Linked DNA regions of Arabidopsis thaliana. The protein of the gene in region 4 interacts with the protein of the main gene of each other region in a pairwise test. Each region holds a gene or a part of one and is shown on either strand. Other genes may lie near its edges.

Evidence for each region.
Region 1: the proteins of ARF18 (region 4) and IAA13 interact in binary tests that used the Arabidopsis thaliana proteins (3 or more experiments, as listed by UniProt).
Region 2: the proteins of ARF18 (region 4) and AXR3 interact in binary tests that used the Arabidopsis thaliana proteins (3 or more experiments, as listed by UniProt).
Region 3: the proteins of ARF18 (region 4) and PAP2 interact in binary tests that used the Arabidopsis thaliana proteins (3 or more experiments, as listed by UniProt).

What each region holds. Positions count from the first base shown.
Region 1 is NC_003071.7:14,113,701-14,117,573, forward strand, and holds IAA13 (auxin-induced protein 13), read right to left. Parts: upstream 2,270-3,873; 5' UTR 2,058-2,269; coding exon 1,837-2,057; intron 1,567-1,836; coding exon 1,156-1,566; intron 1,072-1,155; coding exon 1,010-1,071; intron 919-1,009; coding exon 869-918; 3' UTR 581-868; downstream 1-580. Other genes in the region: AT2G33300 (Transcription elongation factor (TFIIS) family protein), read left to right, coding at 1-260. UniProt on the Arabidopsis thaliana protein: Aux/IAA proteins are short-lived transcriptional factors that function as repressors of early auxin response genes at low auxin concentrations.
Region 2 is NC_003070.9:1,134,250-1,139,182, reverse strand, and holds AXR3 (AUX/IAA transcriptional regulator family protein), read right to left. Parts: upstream 3,106-4,933; 5' UTR 2,802-3,105; coding exon 2,563-2,801; intron 2,250-2,562; coding exon 2,038-2,249; intron 1,724-2,037; coding exon 1,585-1,723; intron 1,444-1,584; coding exon 1,382-1,443; intron 881-1,381; coding exon 843-880; 3' UTR 520-842; downstream 1-519. UniProt on the Arabidopsis thaliana protein: Aux/IAA proteins are short-lived transcriptional factors that function as repressors of early auxin response genes at low auxin concentrations.
Region 3 is NC_003075.7:14,322,760-14,327,128, forward strand, and holds PAP2 (phytochrome-associated protein 2), read right to left. Parts: upstream 2,603-4,369; 5' UTR 2,455-2,602; coding exon 2,033-2,454; intron 1,929-2,032; coding exon 1,675-1,928; intron 1,595-1,674; coding exon 1,453-1,594; intron 1,309-1,452; coding exon 1,247-1,308; intron 944-1,246; coding exon 906-943; 3' UTR 537-905; downstream 1-536. Other genes in the region: AT4G29070 (Phospholipase A2 family protein), read left to right, coding at 1-1, 149-276. UniProt on the Arabidopsis thaliana protein: Aux/IAA proteins are short-lived transcriptional factors that function as repressors of early auxin response genes at low auxin concentrations.
Region 4 is NC_003074.8:22,885,862-22,891,967, reverse strand, and holds ARF18 (auxin response factor 18), read right to left. Parts: upstream 4,080-6,106; 5' UTR 3,798-4,079; coding exon 3,752-3,797; intron 3,701-3,751; exon of another isoform or gene 3,481-3,700; coding exon 3,365-3,480; intron 3,282-3,364; coding exon 3,183-3,281; intron 3,113-3,182; coding exon 3,056-3,112; intron 2,965-3,055; coding exon 2,812-2,964; intron 2,734-2,811; coding exon 2,649-2,733; intron 2,562-2,648; coding exon 2,471-2,561; intron 2,392-2,470; coding exon 2,227-2,391; intron 2,137-2,226; coding exon 2,023-2,136; intron 1,951-2,022; coding exon 1,878-1,950; intron 1,790-1,877; coding exon 1,310-1,789; intron 1,229-1,309; coding exon 1,041-1,228; intron 931-1,040; coding exon 789-930; 3' UTR 513-788; downstream 1-512. Other genes in the region: AT3G61829 (uncharacterized protein), read left to right, coding at 4,646-4,777; AT3G61826 (uncharacterized protein), read left to right, coding at 5,245-5,337. UniProt on the Arabidopsis thaliana protein: Auxin response factors (ARFs) are transcriptional factors that bind specifically to the DNA sequence 5'-TGTCTC-3' found in the auxin-responsive promoter elements (AuxREs). Could act as transcriptional activator or repressor.

The DNA.
Region 1 (3,873 bases), on a different chromosome or scaffold from region 4:
AATCTGCTGATTTTGCCAACGCAAAGGGAATCCTCGCGTCTGAAGTAGAAACATCAATGTGCGTAGATACCCTCGCTTTGCTCTTGGAGTTCCCCATCAGCGCAAGAGCTATGGAAACAAGGAAGCTCATGGTTAGGCTAGAGAATCTTACAAAACACAAGAACCGAAAAATATGCAATTCTGTTTCAAAACTTCTTCAATGTTGGAGGCAGAGTATCAGAGATCAACAACTCAGAGAGTCCCGTAAAACTCAAGGCTAAATGTCACTAGGGAATTTAAAAGCTTATGACTTGAAAACGTTGGTTGCTTGCTTATTCTTTTGCTTAAAGTAGAGTATTGTAGTCACTGCTTCAATTACATTACTCAAAAGCTAACAGTGAGAGGAATATGTATGTATTAAGGATTTTCACAATCACTATTATAAGAAGTTTAACCTGTGTGAAACGTTTTGAGTTGTAAATACATTATGAGTTTTGTAATCTATTTGCTTTCTTGCCTTATGTTTCCGTAACCCCATTTGATCTGAGTAGTTATTTGTGGATATATTGGCATAGTTCTAAGATCATTAGAGTAGACTCATCAACAAAAACCCTTAAAAACGATATTAGATAAGCTTCAAATATTTACAGTGTAGTAAAAGATATAAAGAGCATTCTCTTCCATCCATAGTATATAGTGAAATCGCAACCGAAAATTAAAAGACAGCAAAAAAAAAAACTAAAGAAAACCAGTAAAAACCATTATAAGAACCAAGAAAATACACAAACTGGATATAAGATCAATCTAGCTTATGCTTGCTTCAGAAGTATCTCAGACTTGCAAAACCCCAAAATATAAAACCTGTAACACCGTAACGTCGAAAAGAGATCTAAACCGGCTGCTTTCGCTGTCTCTCGTTTGGTTCTTGATTTCGTGCAGCTGCATATATATTAACATGTTTTAGTAGAAATTTTTCATTGCGTCATCTTGAGAAACAAGAACAGGAATCAAGATGAGATTATCTACATACCGAGTCCATTAGCTTCAGAGGTTTTCATCACACGTAGCCTTTTCACCGAGTTGATGAACATTCTAAGATAATTCCAACAAAAAGACCATCAGAAACATTTATTGGAAGTGTAAGAGATAAATAAACAAGGTTTTTAGATCTATTACCTCCATGGAACATCACCAACAAGCATCCAATCTCCTTCCTTATCTTCATAAGTAAGTACAAACTCAGACGATCCATCTAAAAGCCTCAACGGTTTAGTGAACTGACTGGTTAACCCGACAGTACCCGGATTAGTGCGAAAGAACATATCTTCCAATGTTTGCGCCAAATTCTCGTAAGAAGAATGAGCATTCAAATCCACTTTTCTTCCTATAGCAACTCCATCCATGTTCACCTTAATAAATCCAACTTGTACTTTCCCATTCACTTTCTTTGTCACATCTTTAGGTTCATCATCTTTCACTTTCTTCTTACCAGCTTCTTCTTCTTCTCTTGCTGACTTTGTAGCTTGGTTATTAACCAAACTGTTCATCCTGTGTGACCCTATAGGAGGCCATCCAACAACTTGACTGCTACAAACAAAGCAAACATCAAGTCAGGACTTGTAATCTATCCAAATGAATCAAAACCAAGAACAGATTCAACTATTCAAGATTCCTAATTCCAAACCAGAGCATTTCTTCCGACATAACTCAGATCAAGTATACATCCAAACACTAAAGAATCTTTAAGAAACTCCTAAACGAACTATGTTCAGAGAATAGCAATTTCACATCATACAAAAGGAATTAAACATCTTAAAAGATCTTTCTTTGAAACCAAAAAGCTTGAAAAAGACGAACCTTGAACGAGGAGGAGATGAACCAGCATGAGAAGCAGAATCAGCAGCACGTTTAGAACCAACAGAAGGAAAATCCTTAGCCGTCAAAAGCCTTCCACGCTCTCCCCACGCGCCACCACCACCTGATTTACCAATCTTGGCCGCCGTTCCACCGCCAAGACTCAGCCCTAGACCAAGCTCAAGCTCACTCTCACCTTTCCCCATCTCAAGTTCAGTAATCATCAGAGAGACCACAACAACAACAACAAAAACCCACTAAAAGAAAGAGAGCCCTAGAATCCAAAATCAATCCAAAAGAAAGAAAGAGTCTTTTGAAAGTCAAGAAGGCAGAGAGAGCAAAAAAAAACAACCTGGGAAAGGAAGACAAAGAAAGAAAGAGAGAGAGAGAAGGAAACAAGAAAACAAACAAACAGAAAGAGACAGAGAGAGGATTTTAAGGGTTTCTTGAAATCTGAAAGAGAGTTTCAAGAATTGAGGAAGAAGAAAGAGAGAGAGGATTAGGTGGTGGAGAGAGTGATGAGAAGAGTAGGACCCATATGTCTGGTAGTGGCCATACCAACAACAATGCCATTCTTTCTTCTTCTCTTTTACCCTTTTTTTATTCCCTAATTTTATTATTAACAAAGAAATTCTTTTTAACTTTTCTTCCCGACATTATCAAACTTGTCGTGCTCCCGTTTACCTTATTGTTTTCTCCTGTGTTTATAAAAAAATATGATAAACAAAACAAACATATCTTATTAAACTATATTAAATATATAAACTGTTGTTTTTGTGTTATGTGTTTGTATTTGTGGAAAGCTTTGTTTTTGCATCACACTTTCTTTTCTATTTTTGCAAGAATTTGTATTCGTTTTGATGATTGCTATATTAGAGTTTATTTTGTATTCGTTGCGTTTGATCTTATCTGGTTAGCTATGCTTTATATCATGTTCATAGTAACAACTGTTAAATATGTGAAAACGTATAGCTAAGTACCAGTTTTGAAAAAAAGTTGAATTTGGGTTTAGTTTTGGGTCACTATATGCTCATTTATTTTCTTTTCTTTTTTTCGTGGAGGACTAGACTATGATGGGTTCCAAATAAAGTGAGAACAAAATTGGTTTTCATTATAAGGAATTATTAAATAAATAGTGGTGATGAGATTATTCATCATCATGTTTCTTGATGTGAGCTATGATGATCCTTTGAAAACTTTTTCAATCGCAATTGATGTGTGGAAAATTCTCTTTTGATCAAAATCATGACTAAATGAGAACATTGAATTTCATACTCTATTGATGGATTTGCTAGAAATACCAAACTTAGTTTCAAGAAATATGTTGAAATTTCACAGTATTAAGATACAGTAATATTTCACAACCAAAAAACAAGTACAAGTTTGTTCTCTTTATTTATTTAGAAACTCAGGACACCTGAACCTCTTCAGACTTCAAAGCGACTTATTCTCACAGTTCCAAGTACACTAACAGTTAGTCAATATCAAATAGTTGATTCTATGTTTTTCACGTTATCTACGTTTGTTCTAGAATTGCGTGTGATTTTTATACTCGTTTTTTCTTTTTCCCTTCTACTTATTTTGCATTTTTACTCACTTGTTAGTTTTTATTTTTTTCTTAGGCGCTACCTGTGTCGTTCCTTTATAGGACAAAAGGCACGAACATTGCTTTAACTATAAAGTCGATACCCAAGTGGGCTGTGGGGTTGTCTGTAAAGGTGAAATAAGAAAAATAAGTAGATTATACGAACAGTTATTTATTATCTATCATATAGTATTAATGAATGCTGTTTACAAATGTTTATGAATTAGAGAGAATTCGTAGGTTTTATAGTAACTTCGGTATATGATTTTTTAGTTTAAATAAGAAATTTATTAATGAGTAAAGTGAGGACTTATATACATATGCATAAGAGTAGTGATGCAAAAGAAAACGTAAACAGAGCAAAATAACAGCTTATCTCCGGAAAATAAAACTTAGGTCTAAATGCTCAAAAAGTGGTTTAAATTTGTATACTATTTAACACGATAACGAAAATT
Region 2 (4,933 bases), on a different chromosome or scaffold from region 4:
TTTCTAGTGGTTTTTCATTTTTCATTATAGAGAGGATATTTGTGTATAATTATGATAACCTTGTTAATAAATTTAGTTGGTATAAAAGTTAATATTCCTAATTAATTTAATGGGAAATTAAATGATAAACAAAGGTAATGAAATGAAGAGACCCATGAATATGCACATGGCATTGCTCCCTCTCTTCCCTATGGGTCCTATTTCTCTATTTTATTTCCTCCAACCAAAGCCAATTATCACTTTAAGTACCAACAAATCAATATACCAACAAAGTGAATTTTCCCCATTTTTGTAATTATATTCATCTGATATAACATATGTATATTGTAATATTGTAATTCTAATTATACCGACTTCGAAATTATACTTGGGGAAAGTTTACTTTAGGGTCAAATACTCGATCGCTATGATCTTTAGTTTCACTTTCAAGACGAACCAAAAGAATACTGTTCTGCCTTTAGAAAATAACTGACTATTAAGAGACTGAAATTAAAGAGAAGTAATGTGAGATTAAATTTTCCATAGTGGAATAAAAATCACATATTCCTTATACGAATATACACATCTTTGGCAAAATAAATAAATAAAGACAAACATATACATAGGAATAGGATGTTCAAATTATTACACATTTTCCATTACAAATGTCTCAAATATTTAACTTAAGTTCATTACACATAATAGCATACAAACTATATCTACATACCAAATCCAGATCAAAACACAGACAATCAAAAGAAACTGAACAATGTATTTCATCGTAAGAAAAAAAAGAGCAATTAACACCAATCAATGTGTTAATCAAATATATAATCGATACCACTTATCCTTTTAATTTGACTTCAAGCTCTGCTCTTGCACTTCTCCATCGCCCTCGGAGCTGAAATATTTTTACAATTAATAAGCAAAGACATTTGACCACGGTATTTATTCTGTTAAAAGAGTATATTTTTTATTCCCTCTGTTATTTAATCTCTTTCTTTTTTTGCATTTGACAAAAGAGAATCAAATATCATGTATTATATCAATGATTTAAAAGATCAAAGCGATAAGTTTTCTTTCGACAAATTTGTTCTTTACGGTAGAAATATAATTGTGCGAAAAATAATGAACGGTTTAAGCGTTTGATGATTAGACATCATCTTAAACGATAGCATATTAAATTATTTAGGCGACCAAGTTATGCGGTTGAGGTGTACATTATAGTAAACTTTTAAGCTCTTTTGTAAGTTTTTTTTTTCTTTTTGGGGCAAATCTCTTTTGTAAGCTATTTTAACTATATTGTATACATATACACGTAAATTTTAATTTAAATGGGTAACAAACTGAAATCAAAATTTAATCAATGTGAATATAATATGCATTGGTAGAAAATACATACCGAGACCAATGGCATCCGATCCTTTCATGAGACGTAAACGCTTGCATGTATCGACGAACATTCTAATAAATAAAAAGATTAAAACAAATGGTTATTTATTAGAAACAAATAAATGACATAAACAAAAATAAAGCTCGAATTTTAACCGAAACAATAAAGCTCTAATTAAATGGTAATTAATAAGGGAGAAGAAGAAGACGTACGGCCAAGGAACGTCGCCGACGAGCATCCAATCACCGTCTTTGTCTTCATAAGAGGGAACATAGTCCCAGCTATTCACCAAATCCATCAATTTCCTCTCATTCATGAAGTCTATCATTCCTTCTTCTCCTCCATGTTTGCCTAAAATAATCTTAGGTATAAGAACTTGATATCCTGAATTTAAACTTGGTGGTTTTCTTTTATGGTGCAACAAATGAAATATACATTTTTCGCAATTGGATTTTATCACATAGTTTTCTTTTCACAGTTTCTAAACTACTACTAACGGGTTACTCAATTATGAAATATTTGTATACTCGATAACGGTAATTCATTTGGGACTGATCTATCATCATGATGATTAATTTTTCTTTCTATAGTAACAATTAATTAGTAACTAAATGTGCATGGAAGGATCTACATATATATATAAGGAATATACTTATAAAACGTACCCATGGTAAAAGAGCTGAACATGTTGGACAAAGCATTAGAAAGCTCATCGTAGCTTTTATACATCCTCAAATCGATTTTCCTCAAGTACGGTGCTCCGTCCATTGATACCTTCACGAACGCCGCCGCCTCCGGGCCACCGCTTGATTTTTGGCAGGAAACCATCACGTTCTTCCGGTATGATCTCACCGGTGGCCATCCCACAACTTGTGCCCTATATTTTTTTTAAAACGGAAAAACGGTTATGTTATACAAGATATAGACTGTAGTTAGCTTTGACGTGATGTCACATAAATTTTACTTGCATGAGACTATGGGTTAAACATAATTAAATATATTAAGACATTGGACGATTTAAGAAGAGAAAAAAACCGTAGACATATGATAAAATGGTTTTGGCGAAGAAAAATATATATCTTTAATGAAATTTCTGTTTTTTTTTGCAGTCACCTTTACAAAAATGTTAATATTAAGAGCAGTAGAGAAGAGTGGAAAATAAATCATAAAGGACAAAATAGTAAAATTACTTGGCCGGAGGTTTGGCTGGATCTTTAGGACAAGCACTCTTCTCCTTGGAATCAAAAGTCACGACGTCATGAGTCGTAGATCCTTCCTTGTTTGCAGGCTCATTATTCAGATTTAGCTTCAGATCAACCGTCTCTGAGAACCCTCTCTTGTTTCCGGTTACCGGAGCCACTGTATCTCCACCGGGAAGACCAAGACACAGCTCAGTCTCCCTCAGATTCAGCTCGACACTGCCCATCATTATTAACCTTTCTTCTTCTTTGGTGTTCTTCTTCTTGGGAAGGTGATGAGGAAGATGGAAAAATGGTTTTATAAAAACACTCAAATAATACAAAGTGAGATGAGTCTGTATTATATCTCTGTCTAGGAGGTAGCTGCATGTGTATGTCGTATTTAAGAGATCTTTGATTAAACGGGTTTTAGACACGTGGATGAATCTAAGCCCTTTGATTAAGTCATCATCCTCGAGTTTTAGTCTTTTAGACTAATCAGTAATCACTGTTATTACTCTATTACTGTTATTGAATCTTTCTTATGATTTATCTTGTAGATTATGTATATATTATTGCATTTGACTATACAAAATGGATATATATTTTAATCCGTCTTTAATCGTTTTTCTCCCGTTAAAAGAGATATATAACATTTTGAGATTACAAGCGAAAGCACAAGTGAAGGAAAGATTTTAAAATTACAAGTGAATTATGAAACACATTCGAAGCAACCAAGTGAATTAAGTGGTGATGAACCGATTAATTGATATGGGGTATCTAACTAAATATATGTATATACCATATGGTCTTAAAAACTATATCAACGTATAGTTTATAAATATATATTCTTTTGAGTGGCGAGGTCGCAGACATCTCATATGAGAGTGTTACAATAGAGATGTACATTATTATTAATATAACTATATTATGCTTTTTGACTTCTAAATATAATTATTAACTAATGAATATATATTCATGATTTTGATTATTTTTCCCCGTAAGATTCTTCGCCGGAACCTTCCAATTATGCATATCACATCCACATGATTCAATTATTCATCCCACAATAAAAGCGCAGCCCTCTTGTATATAATTATTCTCATGCCAATACAAAATAAAGCATACGGTACATCTTCAATATTTATTGATTAAAAACTCACCTATAAACACGTACAGCGAAATGTGTATCTAGACACATAAAAACGCATCATTACTCTTTAATGTTTATACTTTGTAGTTAACAAACTATAAATTGCAATATTATAAACACCACTTTGTAGTTAACAATAAAATTGGTGATTAATTTTCTTTACAGATATTTACAGATTAAATTGACTACTAAAATATAATGTCTGTTTTTGATTATTGAAAATTATTTTTCTTCTTTTATATTGCTTGTGTTATTCTTGTAGTATGAAAGTTTTCAACAATAGGGTAGTTTTTTTTTTTTTTTGTAGTTATGAAAGCACCTAAATTTGTATTACATTTTCTATTAATTTGTCTATATTATCGCATTTCTAAACAAAAAAACAAATTCTGTCGCACTTCCAAAACATATTTTGTTTTTATTTCATCAATCACGCTTCCAAAAACAAAAATGATATGTTTTGGAATTGTATTTTCACGGCGCTTTTGCGAATTTTCAAACTTTCGTTCAAAATTCGACTTTAGTGATCTACTAGACACTGGTTTTAGTTCAAAGTAATCAGTTAGGCGTAAACTGTGAATACGGGACGTTTAAATAACACCAAGCGTACTAACCATAATTAACCAACGTAAATTCAATAAATATGAAAATAAAGAGGGAAAAAGGCATATTCCTACCCTAATAAAATCTATGAGAGGGGACATGAGTGGCATCAAAATCCAAAGGAAGAGAGGGTACAATTAACATCACCATAAATTCCAAAGCCAAAATTTAAATTAATGAGAAGAAGAAAAACATGGAGATGATAAAGGGACAAGTTACATCAAATAAAATTCAGGGGCGAAAACATCTTAAACCCTACTTTTGTTCCTTGCCTTGTCTACATCCTCCTCTTTAACCCTTTTCTCTCCTTTTGTTTCTATCCCAAAAAACTCTCATGAGTTTTCAAATCAACGTACCCCAAATTTTTCAATCGAATTTTGGGTCACTTTGTCTTATATATCACATCATTTTGTCGTGTTTTATCAATGTGTATCTACTTTGTCTGATCAATATATATATCTACTGATCACTATGGAATTCACATGAAATTGTAAACCAGTGAATAATATAAATTCTCGGTCCAGCCTACATGATTACAAAAAAATGCGCCCGCACACATAAATGGATTGTATGCGAAACTTTAATGAGATTGAACCAATGCAACCAAATCCATATATCATCAGTATTCTC
Region 3 (4,369 bases), on a different chromosome or scaffold from region 4:
GGTAACTACAATCTCCTTATGCTTTTATATCAATGTGGGATTATTTCATAATTTACCTTATTATTCAGGTAGTAATATTTGATAATGGCCGTTTCCATTTGGTGATGTACTGATGTATCTTGAAACCATCTATCTCGAATGCTTTCAGGTCTCAAGAGCATACTAATACCCTACAGAAGTTACCTTGTGAAGATACAATACGGGCAAAATCTACTCGACTTTGGCTGGATAGTGAGCAACCTCAGCAAGAGAAGCTGGAGTTTTCAGAAAAACTGAGACATAAGGAAGTATATCGGAGGTACTCTGTCATCCCGGTAAGCCTTTGTGGGTGTCTTCACTTTCGTTTTGTACATAGAAGTCATAAAGAAAGGAATCTGAGGATTAGGTTCTTTAGTAGTATAGATATATATGTTTAGTATGAAGATGTGAAAACGCTAGTAAGTGTTGTGCGTCTTGTAAACCCGTTGTACATGTCTAGTAATAAACCCTTGTTTTTGAAGTCTTTTGTTTGAATGATATAAGCTCTATCAAAGGATCATTATAACTTCATTTCATGGAAACTCATGAACTAGAAAAACTATTTTCTATAGTAAAGTTTGCATCCAAAACATATATAACAATGAAAACCACATCCGGTTTACACACTACCAAAACTTTTATACATATGAATTATGAAGTCTTCCTTGGCAAACACACATACACAAACCCATATGTTTCATTAGATTGATTAGAGAAAGAAGTAAGAGGAAGAGGCCTTATTAGAGCTTAGTAGAGGCTGGTTTAAGAAAGATCAAACATCACTCCTAGCACACAAACACACAAGAATACTTCAAAACAAAATGGCTATTCAATTTCTTAAAAACATATTTTTTCAAATCATATATTATCACATAAAAGGGCTTTTCCTAGTTCCTGCTTCTGCACTTCTCCATCACCCTTGGAGCTGCAAAAAAAGAAAAAGCAAGATTTGTGTATGAATCATTGTGTATTCTTCATTTGTACAGTAGTGTGCAGTAAGTTCCTAGTGTTTAAGAGGCTTGGAAAGGACTAAATTGCATCGTTTTAGTTTCTCCAGTAATATATTTCTTTAGCTTCAGAATGTTTATAGAATCCAGCGAGAAGCTTAAGAACCATGAAAGTATTAGAAGGGTGTCTTAGTTCAAAATGGACCACCTTTCTAATACATCTTAAAATCGAGCACATGGGTGTGGAACATTAAACTAGGGTTTAGTAAAGAAATACTAACCTAAGCCGATAGCCTCAGAGCTCTTCATGATTCTCAGCTTCTTGCAGGAGCATATAAACATTCTGCAGAGGAAAAAACAGTAAGAGAGCTTCACTGATCTATATTCTTCTGTTAAGCTAAAACTGTGCTAAGATCATTAGATATGATCTAATACTTGATGTTAATTTACATTGTTGAGATTGATCTTTTAAAAATCAAAGACTTACTCCCAAGGGACATCTCCGACCAGCATCCAGTCACTGTCTTTATCTTCATAGGTTACAACATACTCAGAACCACGCAAGAGATCAGTCAAGCGACTCTCGTTTAACCCATCTCTGCCACACCCTCCATGAGAACCAAACTGACCTGAAAAAAGGAACCAAAAGAAAACAGTTAACTCAATCACTGGTATTGATCTCAAAGAAGGAGAGACTAGAAAACGTTACCAATGGTGAAGCAACTGAACATCTTCTCAAGAGCAGAAGAGAGCTCAAGGTAGCTTTTGTAAGTCTTGAGATCGATTTTCCTCAAGTAAGGAGCACCTTCCATACTCACTTTGACATACAAGCAAGGTTGTTCTGGTCCAGACTTAGCTTCTGCTTCTTCAGTCTCTGAGTTATTACCAGGTTTCTGAGATTGAGAAGAAGCCATTGAGTTCTTCCTGAATGATCTTATTGGTGGCCATCCCACCACTTGTGCTCTGCTCAATCAAAAAAAAAAAACATCAAGAATCCCTCTTCACAGAAATCATAAAACAGAGCAAAAAAGCTGAGAAAAATCTAAAACAGAGCAAAAAAAGCTTACTTTGAAGCTGGAGCTGTAGCAGAGCTCTTCTTCTCCTTAACCGGAACAGCCGGTTTAGTGAAAGTTGTCGACTTTCCATCTTTAACGACGGAGGTACGGGGACCAGAACCCGAGCCGACATCACCAGTAGCAGTAGTGGATCCAGGAGAGAAGACCCATTTGTTAGAGTCGTTAATAGCGTCGGAGAACACCCTTTTGGCACCTGACACGGGACAGCTACTCTTGTTGAGAGCCAAGAATCTTGAGTCGACTCGCTCCGGCGACTCAGAACCGGGTAAACCGAGTCTTAACTCGGTAGCCTTGAAATTGAGACCGTTGTTATTGTCTCTGGTTTTGGTTTTGTCAGACATTGTTGTTGCTTCCATGGTTGGAAACTCTGACAAACCTATGTAATCATGCTCTGCTGCTACAGATACAGACATTTTTTTCAAATATAATTGTGGACAAACTTTTGAAGCATTTAGTGATTACAAAAGAAAAAAAGAACAGAACACTTTCTGAGAGAAATGGGAAACAAAAAAATTTAAAGATGAGATCAAATTGTGAGTGAAAATGAGAAATGATAAAAAGGTGTGTGAGAGAGCTTTATTTTTTTTTATTTTTTTACCTTTAATCTTCTTTTTTCTTGGAATCGTATTATTTTCCAAAAGTGGACGGAAGTAGTATACGTAATTTTATATTCATATAAACCGTAATTAGAAGTAAGTACTTTCCTCTTTTGGCGGGTTTAAACACAAAATGTTGATTTAAGAAAATGGTACACATGAATGTATTGTATATACACGTTACGTTTTGTGTAGACATCTACTCCCCGACAGGTCACAGAAAGCGTCCTGAAACCTTTCCTATTATGCCCTTGTCTCGACTCTCGTATTCCACGTTTTGTTTTACTTTTTACTTTTGTATTTGAAAAAAACAATTTGCTATCTCATGAAGGTGTGCATGTTATGCTATCATGCAAAACGATTTAGTATCTAAAATACGCTTTTGTATGCAATTCCTTTTTGATATATGTATAGAGATGTTGTAATGAGTCACTAATTCTGTTTAGTTTGGCTTAACATTATATGTTTTAGATTCACTAGACGATTTGATATAACTCATAAGTTAGCTCGTGAAACCAATCTTTACTCATGAAATTGAGTGATGATAATGATAATCTAATAACGGTGAACCATTTAATCATGTGCATGATAGCATAACATATTCTATAATAAATCAAACGTATTGGAGTTTAAACTTCACAAACTTGTATAAATTCACTAGTAGTTTAGCTAACGAATGGAGATTATTAGTAAGTCGCCAATAATTGCGATGGAAGATGATATTTAGGCTTGGGGGTGAGAACAGAGAAGAGAATCTCGAAAAAGTTTTGGGCCCATAGGCTCTCATTTTTTGGGTCCACCAGAAGCATGAAAAGAGGAAAGAAACAGTAGGGGTAGCTCTTTGCCACTTAGCCGCAGTAGCAATATTGAGCAGTGTTCCCAAAAAGAATTGTGGTCTCCACACTCCACTTTTCATTTTTATCAGACAATGTTTTCCCAAAATCGAGCATATATGCTACAGTACATTACAATTTGACCTATTAGTAAAACTTTGATACTTGGATCATAGTCTTAAATTAATAAAAGTTTAAATGATCAAATCAGATTTAACTTTGATAGTATTTATGCCCATCTAATCTATCTCCAAGTATATTTTTTAAGTGGATGACTCAATCTACATTTAAACGTTTCAACTCATATTTTAACCCATATTTATTAAACCAATATATCTGATGCTATAACAATATAACATGAGAAGAAGTATATGAAATATTGTCATTTATATTCTACCAGTGATTTATATATTGTTTGGCTGTATTGATTAAGTCATTCATTTGTAACAACGATAAGTATATACATAGCAAGAAGACATACAAAAAAGACCTGTAAGTTGCAGTATTATAAAATATCATATGCATAGTAATTTGGTTAAAGCCTGCCTCTAAGGTGGATCCATCTTTGGATCTTATCTAAAGCTTTTTAGATTTGTGTTTTAGTGTAAGTTCGAGTGTCTTAATCATAAGGTGCCTTTCTTTAACTTTTCCTTTGTCTCTCTCTTTTTTTGGGCAAGGTTTTTGTCGTTTTTGGGACATCTCAACTTATATTCCACCTTAACTCACCATCTAATCGTGCCATTAGTTACTTACAAAGCTATCTAAGGATACGAATCTTTAGTAAAAATGTGTCTATCACTATAGAAATCATATGAAGGCTATAAAATCTAAAGATTAGTTGGAGTTACCCAAAGTATTTACTTATCTATATGGATGTTGCATCACATGTGGCGGTTTTA
Region 4 (6,106 bases):
ACCAATACTAAGTTTGAAAATAATTGTATTGTTTTCTTCTTCATTATAAGGCAAATCTGAATTAAAAGTTTAAAACAATATTTTTTTTTTTGACAAATATCAACTACAGTATACACTTCATATGTGACTTTATCCGAAAACAAAATAGATTTTCTTTCTTTTGTCATTTGCATTTTATTAAAGAAAAATCTGATGCAGCTAAAAGGTTTGGAAATTAAAACTTAAGAATTTTTATAGAGAACATCATGGAGACTTATTTTTGGCACGATAACATGAACTTCCAAAGTTTAGTTTTCATTTTTTTCGATTTCAGTTCAATTTTCTAATAACACTATATCCTAGAAGTTCATTAATCCACAAATATTTTTACCAACTCCAAAAGAGAATCTTAACTAGTCGTTTGACTCCTTTACTTTTCCATGACTTTCATATGATGCCCGCCGCGTTGATTTCCACGCCTTCACGTATTTTGTATTCTTCTCTAATACTGTAGTTTTTTTTTTTTTAAGCCTTAATTATTGATTAGAAATATAATCTTTGAACCCATAACTAATTGAATGTACTTGGTTTTGAAAATTGAATGGTTATGGAACAAGTACATACACATAAAAGATGTAAAACCGCCCCATCAACCACTGTCCCAAAACCGAAATATTAAATCGCCAACTTGAAAAATTGACATGAAAAAGAGGACAAGACTTTATATACACAGACTAAAAAAAAAGTCTTTAGACACTTACGCACTAAAACGACGTCGCCGAATTAACCTTAATTAACAGCTAAAACTCTCACCCCCTACTACGATTTTCGAATGATTCATTACCATATTCCTCATTCTCTAACGACGAAGAAATCTTCAGTTTCGTTGTCATTTTCTTAACCTCATCGCTCGAATATATAAATATCTTCTTTGCCATCTTGCAAAACTCACTGCACAATCCCACACAACAGAACATTGCAAAATCAGTTCCGGTTTAAGTTCACATTTAACTGATTTGAGCTAAACCGGAAATGTTTAACTCTGTTATTTTAGAACTTACTTCCACGGATCATCACCAGCAAGCATCATATCTCCTTCATCATCAGTGAAGACAACGATCCATTTGTCTCGGGCAAGAAGCTGTCCTTGAATCTCAAACATCTCCTCAAGCTCATCAATCAGTTCATCGTAAGATTTCAACAGTGTTAAATCAACCGCACGACCAACCGCAATGCCTTGCATTTGCACCTTTTTCAATCCAAGATCAAAGAAATCAGATTTTCAAAACATTGTTGCTATGTTATTATATGAGTTGATAAAGAAAATTACTTTAGTTCGACTTCTTGATGTTTGTTGCTTCTTCTGCTCACTCATTGAGGTTGGAGTGATGGGTTCTTGACACTTGGCAGCTCCACAAGTATCCATCGGTTGCTTGTCTTGAGGGATTGGAGCAGGAGAATTGCTTGTGAGATCAAATCCAAACAACCTATAGCTACAATTCGTTGGAGGAGGAGGAGTCTCGGGTTTGAAGCTGTTGTTTGAGGAGTATCCACCTGAAATTCTCTCAAGTGATGGATCTTGAAACAGTTTAAGGGATGCATTAATGGAATCTTGGCTCTGAGGGAGGCTGTACAAGAAACTAGGTGGGGCTGGTGTTTTAACTGATGGCTCGATGGGTCTTGACCGCTTGCATTTCGATTGTGGTTGTTGAGCAGGAGTTGAAATTGGGGAAGTTGCCAAGAAAGGCTCTATCTCCCATGGTGAGACTTTATCTGGTCTCTGAACTGTTGTTGGCTCATCCCATTGTACCTAAGAAAGACCAAGACAAAAACGTTATATAAAGACCACGTAATAAGTAAAACACTAAAATGTAAGAACGTGGAATGGTTAACTGAACCTGCAATGACCTCCATTTAGAAGCTGGCCATTGTGAAGATAGATCTCCACTTCCCACAATCGTACCAGTAAATCTGAAGACGTTCCAGGTTTCAGAATCAAGAACACTGACAAAAAAGAAATGATCAGAGAAAATGGATTCTTACATTCTCTCAGGAGACTCTTCTCCTTCAAACCTCATTCTGAATCGGGTACCGAGAGAAAATCCATGCTTTATAGCTTCCATATACTTGTTCACCCCAACTATGAATTGGCTTATCCTGCAAAGAGAGAAAACTTTTCTTCAATCAAAGAGTCCTAAACCATCTATGTATATAAAGCAAAATCATCTAAAGAACATTACTATATACCTAGGCTTGTAAAAGACAACAAAGATTGTTGTTGTACGCACAGCATGAGAAGCTGTAGCAAGAACTCCCAAATGCATGCTCTGACTTGAAATAACCGAAGTAGGCATTGTGCTTTGATGCCGAGCTAATCGTCTCACTCCAACCCGTAAATCCCCATTCTCACCCCTGAAAAACACAAAGGCATTACATTTAGGTTCATGAAACTAAACAAGACCAGTGAATAAAGTTTCAATTTCAAAAGTACCTCAAGAACACAAAAGCATCTCCAGCTACAAGTCTTTTCGAGGATACAAATGTACTCCAACCCGTAGTAAGCAAATGCCTCCGTGGTTGTCCTAAACCAAAAACGGCACTCAATGAGTCAATGTCTCATTTAGTCCAAACACAGTTTCACAAAAACACACCAAGATTAGAATCAATACCTCTGAATATATGCTTAAACCTCCATTCAAAGCCATGAAGATCTCTAGTCACAAGTTCTTGAGTAGGAGTAGCTTGTGTCATATCCTAAAAAGTGTAAAATTGGAGTGAGAATTCAAGCTAAAGTTTCTTGAATTGAGAAGGTTTCTTTAAGAATATATTTACCAAAGAAGGCAAGCATTCAGTGGCGTGTTTACGAAGAACAGAGAATCCACCATGAGTGCTTGTATCTGAAGCCGTTAAAATCTTAACAAACGAATGAAACTCTTGCTTAGTTGGTCCAACAATAGGTGGATCAAGACTTGTTGGTTCACTTTGCTGCAAACAAAACAGTAAATTGAAATCAATTCCAATCAATATAAATTAACACTCACTGAAATAAAGTTGAGTTTTTTTTTTAAGAACTTACATCTTCCTCTGGTTGTAATGTGATCTGAGCGTAAACCTCATCTGTTTCATGCTCCGCCTATAAATCAAAATTTAGTTAACAGATTCAGGGGAAATAAAACATTTTAACATTTATGATCCAACTTTACCTTTAAAGTGACATCAAGAACTCGACAAAGTATCTTTGGAGGAAGATCAAAAACAGGTATTTCTTCTGAATTGATTCCTTGATTAGTTGACGCCACAAGCTGCAAAAAAACCCAGAATTTAGAAAGAGAATGGAAAAAGAAAAATTGGGGTAAAAAGAGATGATTTTTGGGTGGGTATATACTTGTTCCATGTGACCCTGAGGGAAGTAGAAAACTCTCTCTTGAGCACGAGGAACTTCCACTAATGGACCTGCACAAACTTTCCATAGCTCTGTGTATAGTTGATCTTGATAAGACCCTAAAATCAAACAACAACAAAACCCTAACAGTCACATTTCCGCGGCAAAACTATAACAAAAATGTGAACTTTGAAGCTATACGAGAAAAATAAGAAAGTTGGGGTTTTTTCTATTTCTTTCTAAGCTCGTCTCCCGAGAAAATGAAAGAAAAAAAAATCGAAACTTTACAAAGCTGATTTTGATTCTACAGAGTAAAACCCCAAACAGAGTCACTGTTAGAAACAAAAAAAAAAACAAAACTTTCTAAAGTCTCAGCCTTTTACTACTCACTTGACGAAGAACTTCCGAAATCATCATCACCTTCAACACTCGCCATTGAAGAACCCAGATGAGAACTGGAGAAGAAGAAGTAGAAGGAGAGGAAATGAAAGAAAATAGAAAGAAAAAAAAACCTTCACGCGGTAAACACTAGTCTTAACCCCATGAAAGAAACACGAGAGAGAGAAGAAAGAAAAGACCCATCAATGGAGAAAATAAAAAAAGCAAAACTTTATAAACAGGACACAACGGACGGTTATGTCCGTATTGATTGCAGAACGTAATTCAGGCACTGTTGGATAAAACTAAATCTCTCCCCTTTTTTTTTCCGTCAGCCACGAAACCGATCTCTCTCTCTCTTCCTCTTAAAATCTTTTTTTTTTTTTGTCTTCTCCTTTCCTTTCAGATTCCGTGTTGTTTTGCTTCAACAATCACAAACTTCTCGCCGTTTTTATCCCGATCCGCAGCAAACCAAAGCTGCTTCCTTTACTGAAGAAGTCTCACAGTATCATGCACATACATATATTCACACTCTCTCCTTCTTTATCTCTCTCTATATATCAAAATATAGAGAGACTTTCTCTTAGTTCAGATCCTGGAGACCTGTCATTTCCACCCACAGTAACTTCAGTTGAATCTCCCTATTTTTCTATTCATTTAATTAAATGTTTTCTAAAATTGTTGTTTTTTGTTTTATCATGTCATCGCTAAAAAGGAAACTCAAATATATTAAATGCGCTAAAATAAAACAAATTGTATTCAAAGGCAAACGAAGGGTCACGCGGCGTTTTGGGAATTGCTTATGAACTAATTACATTTTATTATGTAAAAAAAAAACGTACGGTGCATTTAAAGGAGAGGGCAAATCTCAGCCGTCCGATCAAGACGATAGTAATAAATAAGCTTATGACTTTACTCTATATCCCTAAATTGCCCTTTTTACTGATGACCCCGTTGCCGTTAGCACTTGACGGTGCCGTTACCCACATCGTCTTGTGTCTGGATCGTGGCAGGCAAACGTGTCGGCTTCTCTATTAAACCCCGGCCACATTTTCTTTTTTCCGTTATTTTTTTTTTTTGTGTAACATCAGATAGATTGTTTTTTCCGTTACAGATTTAATTTTTATTTAACACTGTGGAATGTGAGTTAATTACACATTATGCCATTGATCGTTTTTTTTATTTAGGACCCACAAAGGCTATGGCTACACCCACACTCGCACAAGGTCACAGCCATGACTCTTTATGGGACGAGCGTCTTGGGAAGCGTGTGAGTTTTATGTTACCACGTGCCGAGTCAGTTCTGAGTCGCTGGTGTTCATGCTGTATTCTTTTTTTTCTTTCACGCGCTTTTAATCTTAGCAAATCAAAAATCGAAATTATTTGAAAAATTCATGTTTACGGATTTCATATAATTATCGTTAATTGCTTTTATAGAAGGAACTTTTGAAACGTCAAATTTAAAAAATTAAATCGGATAGAGGTGGGAGACACGCGCTTAGTAAATGAGAATGGTGAAGAAGAGTGATAAAAAGTTGAGAAAGCCATGCCGAAGTGTCGGAGGAGAAAGTGGTCCCCACATGGACACGTCAGAGTAAGAGAAATTGCCACGCTGTTTAGTCGTATTCATGACCGACACGTGTCAAATGCTGACTTGTCCTACCAATTTTGCTCATTTACAGAGGAAATTCTATCGCTATTTTTCTTATTTTATTTTATTTTTCCCAATGATAGTGAAGAAAGACTATGATCCAAAAATATTATTGCGTTTTGATTTGTGTACACCCTTGTATTTAATAAAATTTGCAACACGAATCAATGTTGGCTTGTAACCACCCGATGAGACTAATGCTATCACTCGATACTATTTGGGTTTCAAAATCTTTTTTATAGCTTAAGATTTACCTAGAAAACGTCGACGATATTACATAGCCTTACCACTCTTTTTTACTTACAAGTTTGTATAATCATAAGTTCATAGTATTTTTATGTTACCATATACGAGTATTTATTTCCACTCAAAGTTATAGTGTAGACTGTAGAGTTCTCTCGCTAATTACATAAGGCCTACAAATGTGTGTTGTTGATAGTGAAACACTATTACAACATTCAAGCTTCGTTGATGAAGATTATGTGGCCGCGTTACAAGACGAAATATAGATGTGATGTATTATTGATTGGAATCATATATAGTCTCACTTCTCTAACTAGCTGATAGAGGGGTAAAAAAAACTTTTTTGAATCCCACCCAACAAAAAAATAATTAAAATAGTGCATATGATTATTGTACGGACAAATCCTTGCAAAGCGGAGACGAGATATGAAAGAATCGAATTTCATCACCAAAGGTTGAACTAAAGAGTGAAA